Linked DNA regions of Lepisosteus oculatus. Each later gene encodes a partner of the first gene's protein in a complex. Links are inferred from orthologs where the notes say so. Each region holds a gene or a part of one and is shown on either strand. Other genes may lie near its edges.

The links. Proteins that work in one complex are often made in the same cells at the same time.
Region 2: actin-related protein 2-B (region 1) and arpc1b share a complex: the UniProt entries of both Homo sapiens proteins name them as parts of the arp2/3 complex. The link is inferred for Lepisosteus oculatus from reciprocal best matches to the Homo sapiens genes ACTR2 and ARPC1B.

What each region holds. Positions count from the first base shown.
Region 1 is NC_090712.1:9,088,066-9,098,573, reverse strand, and holds the start of actin-related protein 2-B, read left to right. Parts: upstream 1-5,745; 5' UTR 5,746-5,835; coding exon 5,836-5,883; intron 5,884-9,817; coding exon 9,818-9,928; intron 9,929-10,508. Other genes in the region: N(4)-(Beta-N-acetylglucosaminyl)-L-asparaginase, read right to left, coding at 893-938, 2,391-2,547, 3,281-3,419, 4,572-4,680. UniProt on the Homo sapiens protein: ATP-binding component of the Arp2/3 complex, a multiprotein complex that mediates actin polymerization upon stimulation by nucleation-promoting factor (NPF).
Region 2 is NC_090714.1:10,176,047-10,186,821, forward strand, and holds the start of arpc1b (actin-related protein 2/3 complex subunit 1B), read right to left. Parts: upstream 4,717-10,775; 5' UTR 4,576-4,716; intron 3,537-4,575; 5' UTR 3,526-3,536; coding exon 3,462-3,525; intron 951-3,461; coding exon 846-950; intron 83-845; coding exon 1-82. Other genes in the region: arpc1a (actin-related protein 2/3 complex subunit 1A), read right to left, coding at 6,867-6,905, 7,340-7,430, 7,846-8,039, 8,453-8,528, 9,360-9,572, 9,803-9,910, 10,486-10,714. UniProt on the Homo sapiens protein: Component of the Arp2/3 complex, a multiprotein complex that mediates actin polymerization upon stimulation by nucleation-promoting factor (NPF).

The DNA.
Region 1 (10,508 bases):
AGGACAATGATTTTTAGAGGGATGCACGATCGAAACATTGACGAGATCCATATTATTTTTAAAAACTAAATGTTTCGGCTCCCCCGTGTGCATGTAGGACTTTACTGCACGCCTAAATAAATGGGTTAATTCACTCCTAGACTAAAAATAAAAAAAATCCAACGCATGAAAAGTAATGTATGAAACTATAACAATAAAAAACGTAATAAAATACAAAAACAAAAACACATAGCATAACTCTAATAGCGACTGAAAGACCCTAACTTTCTGACATGTATTTCTCTCCTCTAGATAGAGGTCTCAAAATCCTTTTCCTGGAATTCCTGCAGAACGCAGTGTCTTCTAATTTTATTAAAACCTCAACCGTCAAAACAATTAACCTAATTATTTTCTAAGTCATATAAAGGATTTATTTTTATATGCCAATATATCATATATGTTTACACAATCGATTTAAACGTTTGGGCACCCCTGGTCAAATTGCATGTTTCAGAGAATCTCTGAGTGAAAAGAAGTTAACACAACCTGTGCAGGGTACAAACTTTAACATGACACATTTCTGCACAGTTTAACGTACAGTTGCTATTTATTTCCTGAATTTAACAGACTGAAAAAAAAAATAAAACAGTGAAACATGCAATTTGACCAGGGGTGCCTACTTTTGCATACAACTGTACACAATACCTTATAGCCAGGTTAGAAGTATTACATCGATGCAGTTAAATTATTACATCAAGTACCAGAAACCGGGACGATACTAGTCCATCGAGGATCTGAGTTTGATCTTGGATGGAGAAGCTTTGGAAACTATAGTCCATCTTCTGGTTCAAGTTGTGCATTTTCTGTTCATTGGAAGACCAGGACTTTTTATTGGTTCATGTTGAATCCTTACCCAATGTGTCGTGTCCAGACAAACTTTTCTTCTTTTCTAAAAAATCCTTAGATATAATAGAAAGGATAAACATAATTTTGTTAAAATATTTAAAAATATATAACTTCAGCATATTTGTGTAATTTATAACAATAGTTGGAATTGTCCTACCTACAGTATATGGATTACACTGGTAGCTTACTTTTAAAACCAACTGTTTCAAACCAGGCATTAAGACTGAAGGAAACTGATGCTTTCCTAATTAATCTGAAGCAAATACAAAAGCAATTACTTCTTGTAGAATCCTGTCACCTGACCGTGTAATTTCATTAGGAGTTCTTAATTACTGTACAGCTTTTAATCAGAGGTACTGAAAATCTCGAAAGTATTCTCCAGGCTGGCGAGAATGAGATGAATTACTCCAAGACCAGACAATTCTAGACCCTTTCCTTTAAGAGGAACTACTGTAAGTAGCTGTCTGTGGAATTTCACACCCTTTTTTTGCAAATTCTCCTTTATTTCTGCTTAGTCAAGATCCAGTATTGCCCACCAAATGTTTTTATGAAAACTTTTATACTTTTAGACAAAACTATCTGGACATAACATATCCATTGTCGTCCTTCTATTCCACCAGAAAAGACCAGAGAGTGTTTGGGTTTGAAGAGCTACAGAAGCCATTGCAAAGCACTCATTGCCAGACACTTTGAGATCTTAGATCTCTCCATGCTCTCAAAATTGATTTCAATGGCTTTCTTAATGTTTCCAGCTGACATTTTCTGTATTTTCTCACGTCAGACTGCAGTATTTCAGTACTGCTACTTGAGCCACTCTTGACATGAGTGGTCTTTGTGAACAAAAATCCTTGAAATCAGAAAGATAAAACATTGTTCAAAATAAAACAATATTAATTCTATACTTATACATATAAATATTTTATTATAAATTGTAATAAAACATTTTCCTGTGCTCTACAATTACATTGGTTTCTAGTTTACAAATATAGATGTCTCAAAAATTAAATAACACAGATGAATGTTTTGTTTTAAAAAGTGTTATTTTGTTAGTTCACAAAGTACAAAAACATGATTTCTCTTTTTCTTTGTATACCTGCCTCTTCTTTGGGGTTTTTATTTGTCAGTGCATTAAACATAGTGTGACTACACTATGAACTTTTGGTACATACTGTAATTGTATTTATTCAATAAACATCTGGACAGTTTGCCCAAATTGCCTCTTTCTCTTAGTCTCAAAACACAGAAATCACTTCATTTTACAAGACAGAGTAAAACACAAAATGTTGTACATTCTGGTTTGACAGATGTCAGGATTAATACATTAGTAAACAGGATCACTTGTGCTGGAATGCAGTGTGTGAACATTAATAATGCCCGTGTACAGGTATTAATATGTAAATATGAATACATATCGAATGGATATTACCGTGCAGTTTTGAATAACAAGAGACCCACATAGGCTGCCCCTGATGATCTATAATTCAGCAGCTGGAGGTGAATGTTACCTGATAGGCCCTGGCTGTCTCTGGAGCCAGCATGCTCTCATTGTCCTCCACGGTGAAACCCTGCTCCAGGGCAAACGCCAGGGCTCCTTCCCCGACCAACAGGCTGTGACAGCTCTGCTCCATGACTCTGCGGGCCACTCTGACTGGAGTCCCCACACTGTCACACACACACCACACACACGCGTCAGGGGCACAGACATAGGGGGCACAACAATCCACCGGATTGCGAAGGAACGGGATGCTAACCGGGAGGAACACAGTACAGTAGAGAAACATTTGTGACATGTTCTTCAGACATACAACACTTTAAAACGCTAAAACTGAACAGCTGAGGGAGCGCTTTTAAAAATAATCAAATATTTTGTCTTATTGAGCTCACATAAATGGACTTTTACTGCCACCTGGCTAAAGTCTCCACAGCAGTAGAGAAAAGACTGTAGCGACGTGGATCGACACTAGAGGGCGCCATTGGGCCGGTGTTTAGAAATGCATCAGTCTCCTGATCAGCCTCCTGCTTGGAAGCTGGGGGACACAGTACTTCATTATTTAAAGCGTGTCCTGTTAAAGCCAGTGACTATGGCTGACACCTTGCAATTTTCTCTCTGAAAACACTTATTTGTCGTCTAGCACAGAGGCAAAGAGACAGATTCCATGACATGCCGAAAATAAAAGCACAAAAGGAAAAAGACAGGCGGTGCACAGGATACTTAATCAGCCTCTCACCAGAACAGTCGCACTCATCGGCTGCAAGGTTTCAGCACTTCAAATGTAGCAGTGAAGCTGGCTAGGAGTCACCGCTCTTGGCTTTGTGGATTAAAGTATCAAGGTTGCCAAAAAGGAGAGCAAGTAAAAAGGAACAATTCGATGTAAAGGGTGTATACTTGTCTTACCCCTGAAGGGCTGCCACTGCACCAAAGCGGCCCGCGATCCCCTCCATGAGCGCAGCGTCACACTCAACCAGCCCCTCGCTGTTGGGGTAGCCCCCTCTGCCCACGACGAACCGGCCCGTCTCCCTGTCATTCTCAATATCTAGAAACACGCAGAGCTCCAGTGAGCAGAGCTCTTCAGCAGCTATATCATTGTGCAGCTCACAACTGACAACACACTGAAGCCAGTACCCGGCCTGTCCAGCACCTGGATGGGAGACCTATCTGGGACAACTGAGGTCGCCGCTGGAAGTGGGGTCAGTGGAGCCAGTAGGGGGCGCTCACCCTGCGGTCTGAGTGGGTCCTAATGCCCCAGTATGGTGACGGGAACACTATACTGTTCAATAGGTGCCATCCTTAGAATGAGATGTAAAACCGAGGCCCTGATTTTCTGTGGTCACTAAAAAATACCCATCTATGAACTGGCTTTACCACTCTGTTCTCCTCCCCACTGATAGCTGGTATGTGATGAGCGTATATAATATACTATATAAGTGTAAGGACTTCTTATTAGTTATCATTCAGGTAACCCTGATGTGATTATCCCTATTAGTTCTGATTAATATGATCTTAATCTCATTTAGTTTTTTTTTGGTCATTAATACTCAATAAACTATTTTAAGTATCTATTCTAGAAAAATAAAAACTACAACTGCAGAAAACCATAGATTGCCATGCAATCTGCAAACAGGCACAAATTCCCATGGCTGTCCCAAAGATAAAACGAGCCGCTGATGTGACATTATCCGAGTGTGCCTACAAATCTTTACAATCCTTCGAAATACAGAGTGGAACAGTGGTTGTCTCTCTGGACCACAAGGATCGGGTGCTCGAATCCCAGGTAAATGCTGCTGTTGTACTCTTCAACCGGGTACTTACTCTTTTTACATGCCTACATTCCTCCCACTCATACATGGAGCCCCAGGCCATCAGTGAAAATAATTTGAATTTGATCTTAATTGACATAGCTGGTAAAACAAAGGAATAGATCAAATCTAGCCCTAATGTTTATATTGGTCACATTTTGCAATGGACACCCATAGCAGCAGAAAACTGACCTTTTAATAAGATCAGTTACATTTGGATAAGTCTCCTCACGTGTTTAAAACCGATCTTTGTAATGATTTAAGTGAAATGCATTGGTACTGTGTATTGTGTGGAGGCTTGTGTGATGTTTTATTTCCTTTATATCACCTCAATGTAGAGCCGAGTGTTAGGCAAGATGTTGTAGTGTTGAGTCCTGAGTGTCACTTACCTGCCATAGCCTGTTCCACACAATCAGTGGAGTGCTGTCCTTGTACAATTAAATACCTCATTTTCTCTACAGCGGGCAGTGAAAATGACCAGGTACCTACAGCAGCCATTCCTCCAGAGATCTCTGGTGATACTCATGTAGCAGGTACTGATTTTGGGTCACCTGCTGAACAGACAATTTTAGTAAACACCTCCAGGAGACTAAGGAGTGGCTTATTCTACAAAATGAGGCAATTTACAGAAACAACCTTCAATGGAGTGGAAAAATCAGTATTCCTTTAATTGCTTCATTTTCATACACAGATACAGGCCGATAAGTGATTCATCTTCATACACAGTCACGACATTTGTCACTTTGCTAGTCAACAGTGTTTTATCTTGCACAAGGCCTCACAGACTGTACCTACTCAGCACCTGTCTGAAGTCCAGGGGTGGTATTTATAGTTGTATACTTTGAGAAGACAGGAACAACAGGTTCATATTGAGGATTAATAGTATTTTTTTCTAGTCCGACTACTACTTGTTTTCCTGGTTTCATTTTCAATTTAGAAGTAAAGCCCACACTGAGAGTTTTTTTCTTGTGTTACCTTTGCAAGCTTTTACATGTTTTGCATTTTTTGTTAAATACTATTGAAATCGGTCAGTAAATCTCATAAGATTACCGTAGAACATTAAAACTATGTTAACATTGTATTTTCGACACATTGTATTAAGATTAGTGTTTTACTATAGCACCATTCAGTATATTGGTTATTATTGTTATTGTTGTTCTTATTGCCTAATACAAAATGTCGTATTAGTTTTGTAGCATTATCATCCCTCATGTCTATAGCAAATGGTAATTTGTATGTGACAATACCAGAAGTACATTTATAAACATTTTAACATTTTCATTCTCTTCCTGTATCAAACAAAACAACACACACCCTTTTTTCCCTCGGAACCGACAAGGTCTTCGCTGGCTCATTGAAAAGAATACTTATCTTCAACTGTAACGTAGAGCCTAAAGATCTGATTGGCTGCAACGCCATGTCAATAACTCGTCAGTTCAGGTACCAGGATGAGCTGCCACAGCTGCCGCAATTTTCTCCATTGTGATTGGATAACGTCACGTCCATTTTTTAGACGGGCGGGCTCTAACGTGGAAGCTCGGGTCACATGGCAGACTTACCGGAAGAAACCCTTTCCGGGAGCCGGGGTGGTGATTTCCGGCTTGCTGAAGAAAGTTGAGCAGGAGAGGTCTGCAGGTTCCTGGATTCTGAAAAATGGACGGTCAGGGAAGGAAAGTGGTGGTTTGTGACAATGGAACCGGGGTAGGTCTGATGACAGATTTCTTACTTTCGGTGATTTGTGCTTCTGCCCGATTCTTCTATGGCTGATTGTGGCTATGGAAAATAGAATCGCCTGAAACAGGAAGTAAAGAGGTTAGCTGACTGGGTGGGTAGGCAAAGGAATGTGAGTCTGTCAGCTTGTCAATTCCGCTTTCTTCAAAGGGACTGATGCTTAATCTGGTGCTCACAAGGTATATACGTTTTAGATTCAACGCTAAGATCCCTTGTTGAGCCACGTTCTGCAGTAGTGGGTAGACTGTGTTGGCATTGTGCATTTTGTATGGATGTAGTCATCGCTTGCCACCAAGGGCCAACACAGGGGATAATTGCTGGAATTTAGTCCGTAAGGGGAAGAAACGGAGCTCGCATGTCCCCGGTGAAATCATTAGATGTTTCTCTCCTCTCCCCTATCATATGTATGACGAACCATCAGTACATCGGTGCCATCACGGTATATTTAAGTGCCCCGTAGGTGAATCGCATTGTTCTGGTAACAAAAAAAAAGTTTCTAAGTCGAAGCTACGGATTGTGCCGTTTTATCAATGAATTGGGGCAGTATTGTTTGCGAGGGCGACAGAAACTGGAAGCGGTTGCACAGCGGTGTTGAAAATGCACCAGCACTCTGCCTCTGTAGTTTGAAATGTCCTTATACAGTTATCACTGGTACAGCCCCTGCTTGCGGTTTTACAGAGCTCGACAGGATGTCAGATCACGCAGGGCTATCTGTCGCGGCGCTTCGCTTGGAAGGTTTTCGGGATTAGAAAGCCCTGCTCGGACAACTCTCATTTTAGCCCCTTTATTTGTAAATTCCGATCATTTGTGAAACAGGTGACGCGTTCCGCGATTAAAAGATTGATATTTCCTCCATACAGCAGCCATGTTGCCGTACTGTGTGTTGCCACAGTTCGTCTGTTTGTTCAAGTCTGTACATGCAAACACATTCTTCGCGTTAGTTCCCAAAGCGCTTCTGAATTTACTTTCTTTGCGAAATGACAAACCAAGAAAAACAATTGTAAAGAACAACGTTAAGAAAAATCACTTTAAGAACCTGCCGATTTACTAAGAATGACTTCAGTCCGTCCATCTGTCTTGGTGTCTTATTGATACTCCTTGATGTATGAAACTCACTGCGGAAAAGCGGCTTAAATAAAATGAAGTATTTGGGTTCCAAGTTCACAGCAGATTGTAAGTGAGGAACATATTGCAAACAGACTTACAGTCCTTTCATAAATAAGTAAATTCGTTCTGACTAAATAAAGCACCAGTCAGATGGACATCCTGTCCTTTTTCTGGGACACTGGAGGTTATGTATTTTTTTTTCACAGTGCACTCCATTCTCCGTCCATCAAAAAAGAAAGCTCATAGCAGCGTGTCCCTTTTCTGTCAAATATTAGTTTACCAGCGCCACAGGAGGTATTTTTTAGCTTTCTTCATCATTGCAGCGTGTGAAGACTACAGAGCACTGCTTCTGAAGCATACCTGTGGAAGTGGCAGTTCAGATGAAATGTATTAGGTGTAGTTAGATGTATTTATTCGCCACGGTGAGATCCCTATAAAAACATGCACTGCTGCATATTTAATGCGGAGATACTGTGAGTAATGTTTGAACACGTACAGAAATGTATTGCCTTAGGCTTTTGATTGTGGTGTTACACCGTTTTAATAATTTGGTCAGTGGTGATTAATTTGTGTAAAGATAATTAAGTAGTTGCACTCTACAACTGTTGTTTAAGAACAGATTTTAGAACAGGTTGCCAGCGAGCTGAGGACGCTTATAAAATTTCAACCTGAAAAGAACAACATTTGTTTCCTTTTTAAATCAGCTCAGGTACAATGAGCTGATTGCATAAATCGTTTAGAGACCGAGCAGTCCAGATATCTCTGCCCATTAGCGATAAGAGCAGTGGGTGGGTTCTTTTTTTCAGCTTGGAGATTTGGCAGTAGAAACGTGCGTTTCGTTTTTTTCTGAACTAGTGCACATTAACTTGCCGGCTGGACTGCACAGGGAGGGAAACTTAACAGAGCACTTTGAAGGATGTTGGTTAATGTGCGTTGCAGAAAAGTGCTAGTTGTGCACTGCTTGACTGATGACTCAAAGGGAAGTGAGATCAGCACTGAAACCACATTCACAGCCCAAAGAACTTTAACTGTTTTATACAACAAATCAAATCTATTTCTGTATGAATGCTTATTATAGTTTTAGTTGAAATGTTTTTGTATGTCTTACAAACTATTCTAGCACCTTGCATATTGGCTGTTTTATCACAGGCTTAAGTATTGTGTGCACTTTTGGAGGTAGGCGTCTGGACAGTGGGTTACAAAAGACTTGAATTCCAGCTCTGTGACATGCTTGTTTTGTGACCCTGGGGCTTGATTCGTAACCCTCACTAGCTTGGTCTCACCCAGCTGGACTACTGGGGAGGTGTCCCTTGAAAAAAATCATTTAACCTAGACCTAGATTGTTTGTACAACAAGAGTCGGATTATCGGAGAGAATGGATTGGTCACTCTGCTTGGACACGAGACTCTGAGTAGGTCTGTCTAGAAGAAAGTTGCAGAGATTAAGCTCACGGTGACTGCTGATTTTAGCCTTCAGTGCTTGTGTGGCTGTGGGCATGCCTGTTGCGACAGGTCATCTGCATTCTTTCCTTAGTGTAGCAGCTAGACAGTACTTTTCGGTGAACATGGTCAGTTTTGCAATGCTGTGGAAATACCTACAGTAGTTAGCTATTTTAGTGTCCTGTTCCACATGCCTGTATGGGGATAGCCCTGGTCCTTGAGAGCGAGAGAATCCAGTAGGTCTTGTAGGTTTGCCTTCAATCATCGGTTTCTAAAGACTTGGAAGAGAAGAACTCGATCGGTTTACTTCTGGTAAATCAGGAACAGACAACTGTGATCCTTGGGAGCCACAGAGTGTTGTAATTATTTCTACACTGCTAAATTGACCCAGTCCCCTGCTTAAGTGGTCAAAATGAAATTGTTCCAGTCATTTAGAAATTGATGATTTAAAGGTGATTCGTAAAGTGTGCTGGATCCTGGCTCTCCAGCACAGAGGGAGTCTGCCTTGCACTAGCTGTTTACATCTCGCATCCATGAGAGTTTGCGCGAATTGTGATGTGAAACCACCCTTCCTGCACACTAGTCACCATAATAGCTATGTAATGTGATGTACAAGCAACTAAGTCCAGGTTGTGCATTAGATATTTCACCACAGAATGTCTCCAACATGATTTACATGTACAGTTAACAAGTAAGTTCCATTTATCGACAAAACCATCTTGGAAGTCGAGAGCAGTATTTCTTTTGGATTAAAAGAGATGTGTTCACCAGCCTGCTTGTTTTCAAAGTAATAAGGCCGCTCCCATCACCGGAGGTTTTGTTGCCTCGTTCTGAATCAAAGAACATGCTGCTGTGCAGACTTGGAAATTTCGTGTATTTTGTGATGTAAAACCTCCAATTTACAAAATACTGTGCACATTTGACTTTTATTGTGGTGTGGAATGCACTCATCAATGCTGATTCTTTTTTAACCCCGAAATATAAAAATTGCATTGCAGTTCCCCTTTAAGCTTTCATTGTGAGAGGTTTTCAGAATATATTTAATTTATGTTCTCAGTTTCTTGTATGTCCTATTTATACATACAGCATCTCTAATGGATGTCTTTACATTTATATGCATTTGCACAAAGAGAAGATGAACTTATGTGTAGTGGTAACTCCAGGAATTTCAATAAAACAGTTTTTCCCAAAGGATTGCAACACATTCCTAATAGAATCCCTGACCTTCTGTGACAACATGTGGCTAATGTGAAAGACGACAGCTTTGCTGTCCACTGAGCTCTTCTAGAAGCCGGCAGCGTTCCAAATGTATTCCATTCCTCTGAAAAACCGTGTCCTCTTCTCTCATTCTTGGCCAGTTTGTCAAGTGTGGCTATGCTGGTTCCAACTTTCCGGAGCACATCTTCCCCGCGCTGGTCGGCAGGCCCATCATCCGATCGACCACCAAAGTGGGAAACATCGAGATCAAGGTAAAGCTCTCTCTCTGCTCAGCTCGTGTCAAGAAAACATCTGCCAGACTTGAGGTTCTGCATTTAATTGTTTGTTTCTCCTTTTTTTCTTCCACTATTTAAGATGTTTGCTGTCATTGTGAATATATGACCTTGCTGATCCATTTACCAAGAACGGGTGTGGAAGTGGAAATTTGCGACAGAGTTGCTGCATTTTGCAGCAGCTCGGAAGCCTTTGACTATGACAAAATAGCTCTAGTATTCAAAATGAAGGCCTGAAATCCATGCTTGTATATTTATGGAGATAGTTCAGGTGGGCAGCTGCGTCAGCATGTGTAGGCTGCAAAGGAACAAGTAATAGGTTTATTCCATGCTGAAAAGAGAAGAAAGAAAACAACGTTTCGGCCGTGGCGGCTTCTTCGGGTGTGAGCCAGGTGGGTAGATGTGTCGGCATGCGTAGGCTCACCTGAAGAAGGCTCCACGGCTGAAACGTTGTTTTCTTTCTTCTCTTTTCAGCATGGAATAAACCTATTTATGTAGATATAAAAGTAAGACAACCACCTGCTGTGTGTACTTAGAAGACCTTTCTTTTCTGCATTTC
Region 2 (10,775 bases), on another chromosome or scaffold:
CCGCCCTTCAGGGTCCAGACATAGGCATTGCGATCAGTCCCACAGGTCACAATGCGATTGCTTTCTGGGGCCCAGTCGATGCCTGTCACAGAACAAACACAACAAAATCTTCCCGGTTGTAAACTGCAGTTTGACCAGTTTCCTGGTGGAAACAGGCCCAGGAGGTTTCCCCCATCAACCAGATCAGGGACTGTCAAACCAGATTCTGTTACTTCACTGTTCTAGTTACTTGCTTAATAGGACAAATTAGTTTTATTTAATTAATGTTATTATTATTATTTTTGTAAATAACGTCCAAGTACAATAGCATGACTCACCAGATACTTGTATCAACTTATTTTTTTATTTATTTTTCTTTTGACAGCATCTCATCAGGAAGACAAGTTGTTATTTTATTAATAAATGTTTCTCTAGCAACCTGTCAATGTTTGCTTAACACACGTAGAAAGGCTGTATTGTGTTCATTTTGTAGCTAGCTGTTTTGCAAACCCATATATAGCCTAATTGCACCTTCTTAGAGCTCTTAAAGAAACATTTCTGAGAAAATTGAACTGTCTCTGCTGTGTCTTCTGGTTCATGCTGCCAGATCTTTTGTACCTTTTCCTTAGAAATACATTGTGTCATATTTATGTTAATTAGATTCATATTGATTTCTGAAAATGTTTTAGAAATGTTAATGGTTTCAACTCAATAACACAGACCAATGTCAGGTCGTACTAGCGAAGTGAAAAACTGTAAGCTAACGTTTCATTTCAGCTGCTGCATAGCTCAGTACTACAAGCTGCTTAGTTTTAAAGACACTGAGACAACAGCTGGAAATACATGCTCACTCTTTGTTTCCTCACCTGTCACTTGGCCATTGTGCTCCTTCAGCTCGTGGATCTTGGTCCATTTGGTTCCTTCCTTCTTGTAGATATAGACATCATGGTTGTTGGGACATAATGCAATTTCTGAAAGATAGGTTTATGAAAAGCAAATTAATATTATTATACTGTATGTAGACAACTGAAGAAGGCTCCACAGCCGAAATGTTGTGTCTCTTTTCTTCTCTTTTCAGCATGGAATAAAACTTTACTTGTTCCTTTGCAGCCTACACATGCTGACACAGCTAACTACTTATATTATTATATATACTGTAACTTAATATAAAGTCCAGTGGATATTACAAGCTGCCTCTGTTATAAATGCTCTCTGGACTGCTCTAAGCAGCATTGCTGACTTGTAGGCTGATTCCATCAAATGTCAGTACTCTGATGGGAGACCTCCATGGAAAACCAGGGTGCAGCTACAAGGAGTACTGTGGTGGACGAGTAGGTGACACTCTTCCATTTGGTTCTCAAACCAGTACCCCAGTATGGCAACCAGGATTTCGACTACTTGATCATTAAAAATCCTGTAATGTAAAGTGTTCCCTTTTTGGTGAAACAGTTTCTCACTTCTCTTCCTTATCTGCTGTGTAGTGGGATGGCTGACATAATGTAATAGTGGCTGCTATGCATCACACAGATTTCACTGTTGGATGAAGTGGGTTCCTCCTAATATGTGAATAACTTTGATGCCTTTTAGGATGAAACATTCTAGATAAATAGATATGCCAGCTTCAATATTCACAATATTGTTCAACTTCTCCAAATAATAAAAATTACATATCAGTTGTGAAGGGTGTGAAAAAATTAAAATCCACAGAATACGGTGCACATAGATGGATACTGTTCTTTTTTACCAAAGCTTTCTTAATAGATGCTGGCAAATGACAATGACCTTGGTTCTCATGCTGTGTGCACAAAAAATTTACAGCAAACTGACTGTTCCCTAGTTTGTCAAGGACAGAAAAATATCAGCCATGTCCTCTACAGGTAGATTTGCGAATGTGGTGTAAAAAAATAGCTCAAGCTGAAATAATTTGCATAGGATGTTCTCACAATATCAATATAGGCTTCTCTGGCTGTGTCAAACCACTTCCTAAAACACAAATACATTTGTGCTGATGAATGGCTTTCATAAAAACATTAATATTTAACTTGAATTCAAGTCCCAACACCCCCTCTTTTTATAGGAGAGGATTGTTTCCACTACTAAAACAGACAGCCAGCAATTCACGGTAGAGTTGGGTTATTTCTCTGTTCTGCTGTGGTCTGCTTTAGGCACATCCAATCATCAACAACGAACCATTCATGGTAAAACAGGAAGTCTGGGTGGAATTAGTCACTGCTGTTTCTCTCATCAGACGGAGAGAAAATATGAGACGGGTGTATAACTACAAACACACCATACTGTTCAACTGCATTTACACATATACATACAATAACCACAAATGACTATACATGGCTTTTTCCTGTAAATTATCTTTGAACAAAGAAGTATTTTTCTAGATTGTGTCTGAACACATGAGTGTGGACTTTTTCGTTCTACTTTTTTTGTGATCAACATCCTTCAGCTCTAACTGTGGCAGTTTCCTAAAAGTGGTATTTATCCCAAATAGAACTCTTGAAGTCTCAGCGTCAGTTTCGAATACATTTTCTGGAATCTTTGGCTACTCGGCCAGTTTGCATTTAGGAAGCTCCTTCGCAAAATGGAACTTTGGAATGGAATTTTATTTTAAATAATCCCCCTGTCTGTCCAGCCCGGGTTAAGTTAATCTAGATGTTGTTTGTGGTGCAGAAGTAAGGCTTTGCAGTTTACAGACTAACTGGGTGGATCCCGTCTTGAAAAACAACCGCTGGGAGAAGCAAAGGCAGCTGTTTAATACCACATGTCTTGCCAGATATCAGCATATACATTCATAAGCAGAAATCTAATCAACATGGTCCTGTAAGTGAATATCAAAGAGGCAGATGCATGCACGCAAATTGTGAACAAATACCACTCCCAAGCAAACCCATTAAAACGGGATAGGGCTTCTGTTTAAAGCATTTTTAGCCCCTGTAGTATATATTTTCCACCCTTGTAATTACAAGTTTGGAAACTATGTGAAAGAGTAGCTTCAATAATAGTAGCTTCAGTTGTAGTTCTTCTGGTGTTGTGCAGCAAAATTGGTTCAGGTTGGCTTTTAGGTTTTTTCCACTTAAATTCAATGTTTTTGTTTCATTTCCCTTTATCCTTTTTAGATTAAAACTTTTAGGAAATATTTATTTCTGCAAAACCTCTATACACATCATATGCATTCTGAATCTACAGGAGAGAGCATGTTCTGAGAAAGTAAAATTAGTATCATAAGGAAATCTAGGGAAATTCAGTAAATGCTGACTGCCAGTTTCTACTTGCTCTTCCAAAGGAAATACCTCCAACAACCTGGCTATTGGCCAGTGGCTATATTTAACTTCAGAACCATATATCTGGAGAACTTAATATGAGGTGTAGTAAGTGAGCTGATTTGGGGACGTTGTGAATAAATTCTGCTGTGAATACAAATTCTGTTACTCTTTTGCACCAACCCAAAACAAATGCAAATGTATACTCACGACTCCTGTCTTTATTCCAGGCATGGCAGCTGATGGGTTCCAGGAGAAAACTGTGGTAAGACATGGCTTATGACACTGAAAAATAAATATGTCGTATGAGGTTAACTGCTCTCTGTATTCAAACGCCATAACCCATATGTTATATTAGTGATAAATTAATTCGAACATTTGATTTTTCTACAGTGATGTTGTGTAATAACTATGCAGTATTGCTAATCTAGTATAATTTGAAATATTGGCATTGGCAAAAAGAAGACTCTGTTCAATGGCTATGCACAGGTTAAAAGTTGTTTAAAAATAGCAGAAATGCATATCCACATATGAAAAAAATGCAGTTGCAGTGTGCACACTAAAACTGTGTCTTTGTCAGAGCACTTCCGCACCCAACCGCAAAAGGAGAAGTTGTAAATGCAGAAGCTGCATCTCAATAATTTGTTTGACATAGTGAGCTTTATGCATGAAGGTAACAGGCTGAAAACTCCATGAATGCCCTAATTACAAGGCAGCTCTGTTCAGATCTACTTTCTGTGGTCTCTAGGGTAATTAAATGCAGGCCAGCCTGGAACGTGACCTGCTAGCGGGAAATGTTTGATGTCTTCAAAACATCCCCACATTACAAGTCCAAAAATAACAAGTTATTTATGGAAAATATATCAAATTATGTTTTTACTATGCATGAATTCTGTGTACCAGGCTTGTGTGAATATTAGCTGTTGCAAGCTCCACTCTTTGGACAGCAGTGGTCTCAATTCTCTGTCGTATAACTACCATCCACTAGCCCAGTTCCCGTGCTGGAACAGGATAAATCTTTGAATGGATTTAAAAAAAAATCTTTCAATTTTGAAAGACTCCCAAAGTTGAAACCATTTTACTTTAGAAAAAAAAAATATATTGACAGCAAAGAAAAGAACCCTGTGTTTTTTAATAGGGCTTTAACTGTCATTTTACATCACTAAAACAACTATACCTAAACCTGTAAAAGTCATAAAAGTGGAAAAAGTTCAAATAACACTTTAACTGACATTAGCAGTTCTGAGGTGCATGAAATACTGGACTTTTGCTATTTTTGCAACAGATTAAAAATTCAGAAGAAAGCAGTGGTATGTTTACTTACCGGTACCTCTTGAACTAAAAAGTTGAAGGAGATGAAAATTGGTCAAAATGTAAAACAAGCAGCCTCAGTTCATGGACTCTGAGCAGTCAACACGAACGCTGGCTCTGAATGAGCTGAAGAAAACTTATTTCTCTGAAAACTGTTACACTTCCCTTTTCCTGCTTCAAAAGTGTAACCACTTCCTTGTGTGGGCGGCTTTCAGCTAGCGAGCAGGACCCAAGCTTTAACGGCACATACCGGCTTGTCAGCAGATATGTAACCCCTGCCCTTCTTCTCCATTATTCACCAAGACCCTTTCATCTCAAAATTGTCTGGTCTAACTTGGCTTCCAGGACTAAAACCGTAATGCTAAAATTCATCTGAAAGTCATTAGGAAAATGTGGGTGGGGCTTTACAATAAGAAATGTGCAGAAGTATACCCTACATATGGAAACTAAAGCGATTTAAAAGTTGTAAGCACAATTTTGTGAAAATTACAGAAAAGTCAAATTTCTCTGCCCTTTCCCTCACCAAGTAGAGGTTAACAACTGGACTATGGCAAAATAAATATGCATTTTCATTACTTTATGAATTTTTAACAGTTTTGAGGACAAGTAATCAGAAATACATACAGAAACACAAACAATGTGCTAGCTGTATCCATCTAAACTATCTCCTACACAGTGCGGATGTGACTCACTATAAATATACAGTAACCATTTAAATCTTAGTACTACAATTAATAAACTATTATATGCTGAAGTGTAACACTAACATTAATAGAAATATGTACTTTAAATATCCACTAGAGATACATTCATGTGGTCTTGGCTCATTTTTTGTTCAAGAGTATTTGCATATGCACATGCAGTTCAGGTTTCACAGGTTTGTAAAAGCATGTCCTGTCTCGTTTTCACTAGTTCACTATCCAGTCTGTCTTTGTGACATAAGCTGTTTGCATTCAGTTGGTGTTCAGAGTAAAGGGAAGATGTCTTGAATGGACAGATGGAGCACTGTTAGAACATGAACCCTGAAAGCTGACGTGCACGACATGACTATCCAGAGAGGGAGCAAACTGAAATTTGATCCAGATCCTATATGGATAGGTAATGCCTTTTGCGTTTTTATCACATGGAAAATATCACATCACTTTCAATAACCACTTATCCATTTCATGGTCAAGGTGACCCAGAACCAAATGGAGAAAATATACTACACAAATTAAAACTGCTGTTAAAAAAAATCACTTTTTGAACATTTCAGGCACAAAATGCATACTCGCATTAAAAAATTAAAGAAAGCTTTGTGCAGAAAAATGAAAATTTTAATTACATCTAAAGAAAAAAAATTAAATCTTCAAATCTTAATTTGAAGTTACCGACTTGATATTTAATTTTTTATGCATTATACACCCTCAACAATAAACCGAAAAGGTTTAATTAAAAAACAACAATTCTTAAACTCAATGCAGATACAGTACTTGCATAATTCTTTACAATGTGATGATCAACGATTTTCAAATGCTGCCCCCATGCTTACCAACTCAAATTTATGTCCAACCATAATGCCATACACTAGTCTACTGCATTCACCATAATAAACCAGAGTGCTGAAAAATTCTGCGGAGCTGCACTCTATAGAGGTGGTGATACTACAAAACATTTCAAGTACACAAGCAGCACAAATTCTTCAGCATAACATAGAATAGAAGAGTTACAAAATATTCTTGGCCACCCTGGCCCATTTGGCAACCTTGTAGCTAATTGATTTAAGATTTTAAAGAAGCTAAACCTACATGGTAGATTGTTGCATACTCCTACAACCCTTTGTGTAAAAAGTGGTTTCTGTTCTCAGTTTTAAAGGTTTTCTCAGCTTCCACTTCTGACTTCTGCTAATCTTCCCTGCTAATGTTTAGTAATATAAGAAATAAAGGATTCATGTAAACATCAAATAAAAACACTTATTCAGGGTGAGTAGTGTATGTTTTTTATTACAAGTAGAACTCTTACATGAAATCCCCCTTTAATGTTCCAAAATGTGTCCAGAGGAGCTCATTTCAAATGACTTACTATCAAACTGCTGGGTAGCAGCTTTGGTATCAAGAATCAAGAAAATCACAGCTAAAGTAATAACCAAAGATTCCAAACCCATTTCCTCTTTATTTCTTTTTTTAAATAAACAATGATGTCAGTTTTTCCTGTCTTTCAGTGCTTTTTGATGAATCTTTTGAAAGGGTTGTCAGAAGACACCTTGTTAGTCATCAAACTGCATGGCTTGCGAGTTGCTTCATGCCAGTTAACTTGCGCTTTCCCTTACATGATCCGCAGGCCTTGGATAGAAGACTCTAGTGTCTGTGGGAGAGGGAGAGTGGAATTGCACGGTTAAAACGTGAATGCTTATTGCTAGATAGCTAGATAAAACCTTCATACTGCAGTCTCAGCGCACCCAGGGCTAGGATGTACCACACTCACAATCTAGTGAAAAAGACAAGTCTTTTACAGAGTACTGTACAATAAATACAAATACAATACCACCTTATGAGAGTTTTCATATGGTCGTGCTTAAATAACAATCAATAGATAAAATAAATGCATTAAGTAAAATTGTTAAAATTACAGATCACAATTAAGCTAAAAATAATGCATACCTCATCAGTTACTGCTTAGCTGTCAATGGTAAGAAAGACTACAAATGATAGTACTAGTTGTACTGATATTTTAACTTCAGTTTTTATTTAAATACTTAACTACTGTGCCAAGAGTTTTAGACAATCTAATGCGAGTACCTTAAAGTCCCATATGGTCATTGCTCCATCAATTCCTGTAGTGCAGAATTTACGACAATCTCTTTTGTCTCCTTCATATATAGACACTTGGCTGTAAAAAAGACACCCCATTTTTGTGGACTTGATTCTTGGTTAATATTATTCTACCTCATCCCAGTTCAACCTATGCAATCATGACATACTGTTGTACAGTTGTAAACAACTTCTAGCCCTATCATTGTGAGAGTACATCTTAAAAAAAGCAATCCTATAGTCTTATTGTTGTGAATCGGGGTACCTTAACTGTTTTCTTATACAATGTAAATACACTAATATATTACTAATATTTAGTTTCGTGTTTATGGTTTACCTTAACTTACACGATATATAACCATCACACTATGCAACAGCTATGTTAAAAAGTTTTTGGATGCATATGTGCACAGCACATCTTCTGCAATGAACAAGTTCTTCATTTGGACTATTGTGCAGACACACTAGGCAAATCTCTACAATGACTCCCTTACGTGATGCTGTTTTGGTGCAGCGTCTCCAGAGTAGCGTTGCGGTCCTCGGTTGTGGCTCTCTTGTCCATGTTGCGGAAGCGTTCCATGGCAGAGATGTTGCGCTGGATGCTTTGCTTTGGAATGTCTAACTTGGAGATGAAGGTCAGAGACCCACGGTCATCACAGTTAAACAGCATTGGGCAGCAATCATGACCCTAGCACAAAGAATGCACATTTTGTTATACGGGGAAACGGCAGCATCATGTTTGGATTTTGTTTGTAGAACCATAATTAAATTGAAATATGTTCAGGGGAAATGCCCTTTAAATTTTAACACTACTTTGGATCACGAGGAGGTCTGTAAGTTGTCCTGATATTCTCATTTGAATAAGGAAAAACTATGTGTTCCTTTCATAGATCTGAAGAATAGTCAAAAAGCCACTGGTCATAATCAAAGCATGCATCCCTTATTTCTCCCCATTTGTCAGCAAATCCTTTTTTAAACTCAATGAAAGAAATGCAAAAGGCTGCATATTAACTAAATGCTTCAACCTAGATCTAATTCAATACAAATTAAGCAATATCATTGATACTTTGGAACATAAATGTTGCTGTACTATTGTCTTACCGCTGCAACAACACTGTTCTCCGATACAAATATCACACTCAGAAGAGGAAGGAATTCTGTCTTGAGCTGGGCACACCTAGAATTATAAAAGCATTAAATTAATCCATTATTCGATCAGATTCAAGCTTCAGACAAAATGCACCAGTGCACTGTACTTAGCTAACAATTATAGAAAAAAGATACTCTGCATAGTTTTAAACAAGCTTTGTAGGAACTCAGTGGAAATGAGAGTGACCCAAAGTCCAACCTAATTACTAAAACAAAGTAAGTGAGTTATAAACAAACCTATTAACAGAGTTTTTTTCTAAAGTAATAATTGTCAATTATTTCTGTTACACTTAGCTATTCCAAATCGGGCACATATGTATTTTCCCATGTTTCAGATCACGGATATAAATCATACACAAAGAGAATGAGGAAGTGCAGGCAGAGTGCTCAAACCCGCCCACTGTTCTGCATGTGTTTTAACAAGGGAGACTCAGTGCTGATTGGAGGAGAGGCATGTCCCTAACTGACAGTATCACAAACCTCAAAGAGGGCTAAGAGAGCCCTGCCTGACAAATTAGATGAATTGGAAATGGCCATTTGGGGTATCATGGTCACAGTTGGCTAATGACATGACTCAGGCTAGCACCAATGACCACAAAGCTGAGTCTGTGCTCAGTGAGCACGTTTTTTAGTTGAGCCACTCAGGAGGCTCCACACTTAACTTGATTTTCAACCAGTTTGCTTCACCTGCTTCACGACCCTTCAGAATGAGAAAGAGAAAGTTGCATATGATCTGAAAAAGAGCCATTTTGGTATTTCAAACATGTACTGCAGGCTGCACCCAAAACAGATCTACTTCCTGGATACAATGATCTACTTTCTTTCCATGCACATCTAAATAACTTAAAATTCTACTTACATCATGCTTTTGGAAGCGTCTACAACGGACACCGTGCTGTCGTGACTGACCCAGGCTAGGCGGTTCCCGCTGGCAGAGAAGCAAACACTGTGAACCCATCCTCCACTCCCGACACCCCCAAACTCTGCCATCACCTGTCCAAAAGGCATCTTGGAACCCCAGGGAGTGGGTGCTGGTTTCTCTTCTACTTCCTTGATGTATGCAGAGAATACTCTTAAAGGAGGGAAAAAAGGTACATGATTTTGTGTGCATGCCAATTATAAAATATAAAGGTAACAATGCTTTTCAGCTAAATACTGAATAAGATGTCATGCATACCCCAATTACTCACTTAGCTTCACTTATCTTAAAGCTTCCACTTTGCAAATTAACACTGCTTTTCACCACATAGTTAGATTGCACCTGACTGTTCCAAATATGGTCAAACCATCAAATGTGCTCACCTGCATTTGAAATCACAGGATCCAGCAGCTAAGAGGACATTGTTAGGATGCCAATCTAAGCTCAGGACTGTAGAGCGAATGGGCTTCTTGATGTGTTTACTAACCCACCTAAAAAAAGATAATAGATATACCTTTAAGAAGAATGATTTATTCTGTGCACTTTAAGATTAAATTTGTTCATGTTATGTAAAGAACATAGGTAGATTTACTCTTGAATTTCATTAAATAAACATGTATATTACCTTTACTTAATTATTTTAATTTATTTTATGCCCAATTTAATTAGTGCACTGAAGTTCAGATTTGCTTCTGCTCTCTACACTACAGAAAATGCTAGTTAAATTAAGGGAAGAGAAAATCTATATTGTACAACCAAATGCTTAAGCTACTGCTAAGAGTAAACTGGCAGATTAGAACCAACACTCAGATCTGATTGTGATTTCTTCGGAGCAACAGTCTATCGACATCCTGGAAACTTTTTTTTTTACAGTAATCTGGTAGTTTCTAAGAGGCAACCTGACCGTGATCTACAGATTCAGAGGGTAACTTTCATTACCACACAGATACAGCATGACACCTCTGAATTTATGGATCAATCAGCAAAATTGTGAAAGTCCAAAATAAAGAACTGGGCAGCATCTAATCAGGGAAAGCTGACATTCATCCACTCCAGTGAGGTTTACCAATCGTTTTCAGACTCAAAGTAGCACACGGAGATGAGCCGAGCTCCACTGCCCACGGCAAACTTGTTCTCCAGCGGTGACCACTTCACAAACGTGGCTGCTCGGTTAATCCTCAGAATCACCAGTGTCGGTTTCCACACTCCGTCCCCATCCTTCTGACTCCAGACATAGGCATTGCGGTCTGCACCACACGTAACAATACGATCGCTCTTAGGGGCCCAGTCAATTCCTGCACAGAGAGAAGAGCATAAAAATGTAATTTGTACAGCTGCATTCAGTTTAATTTTCCA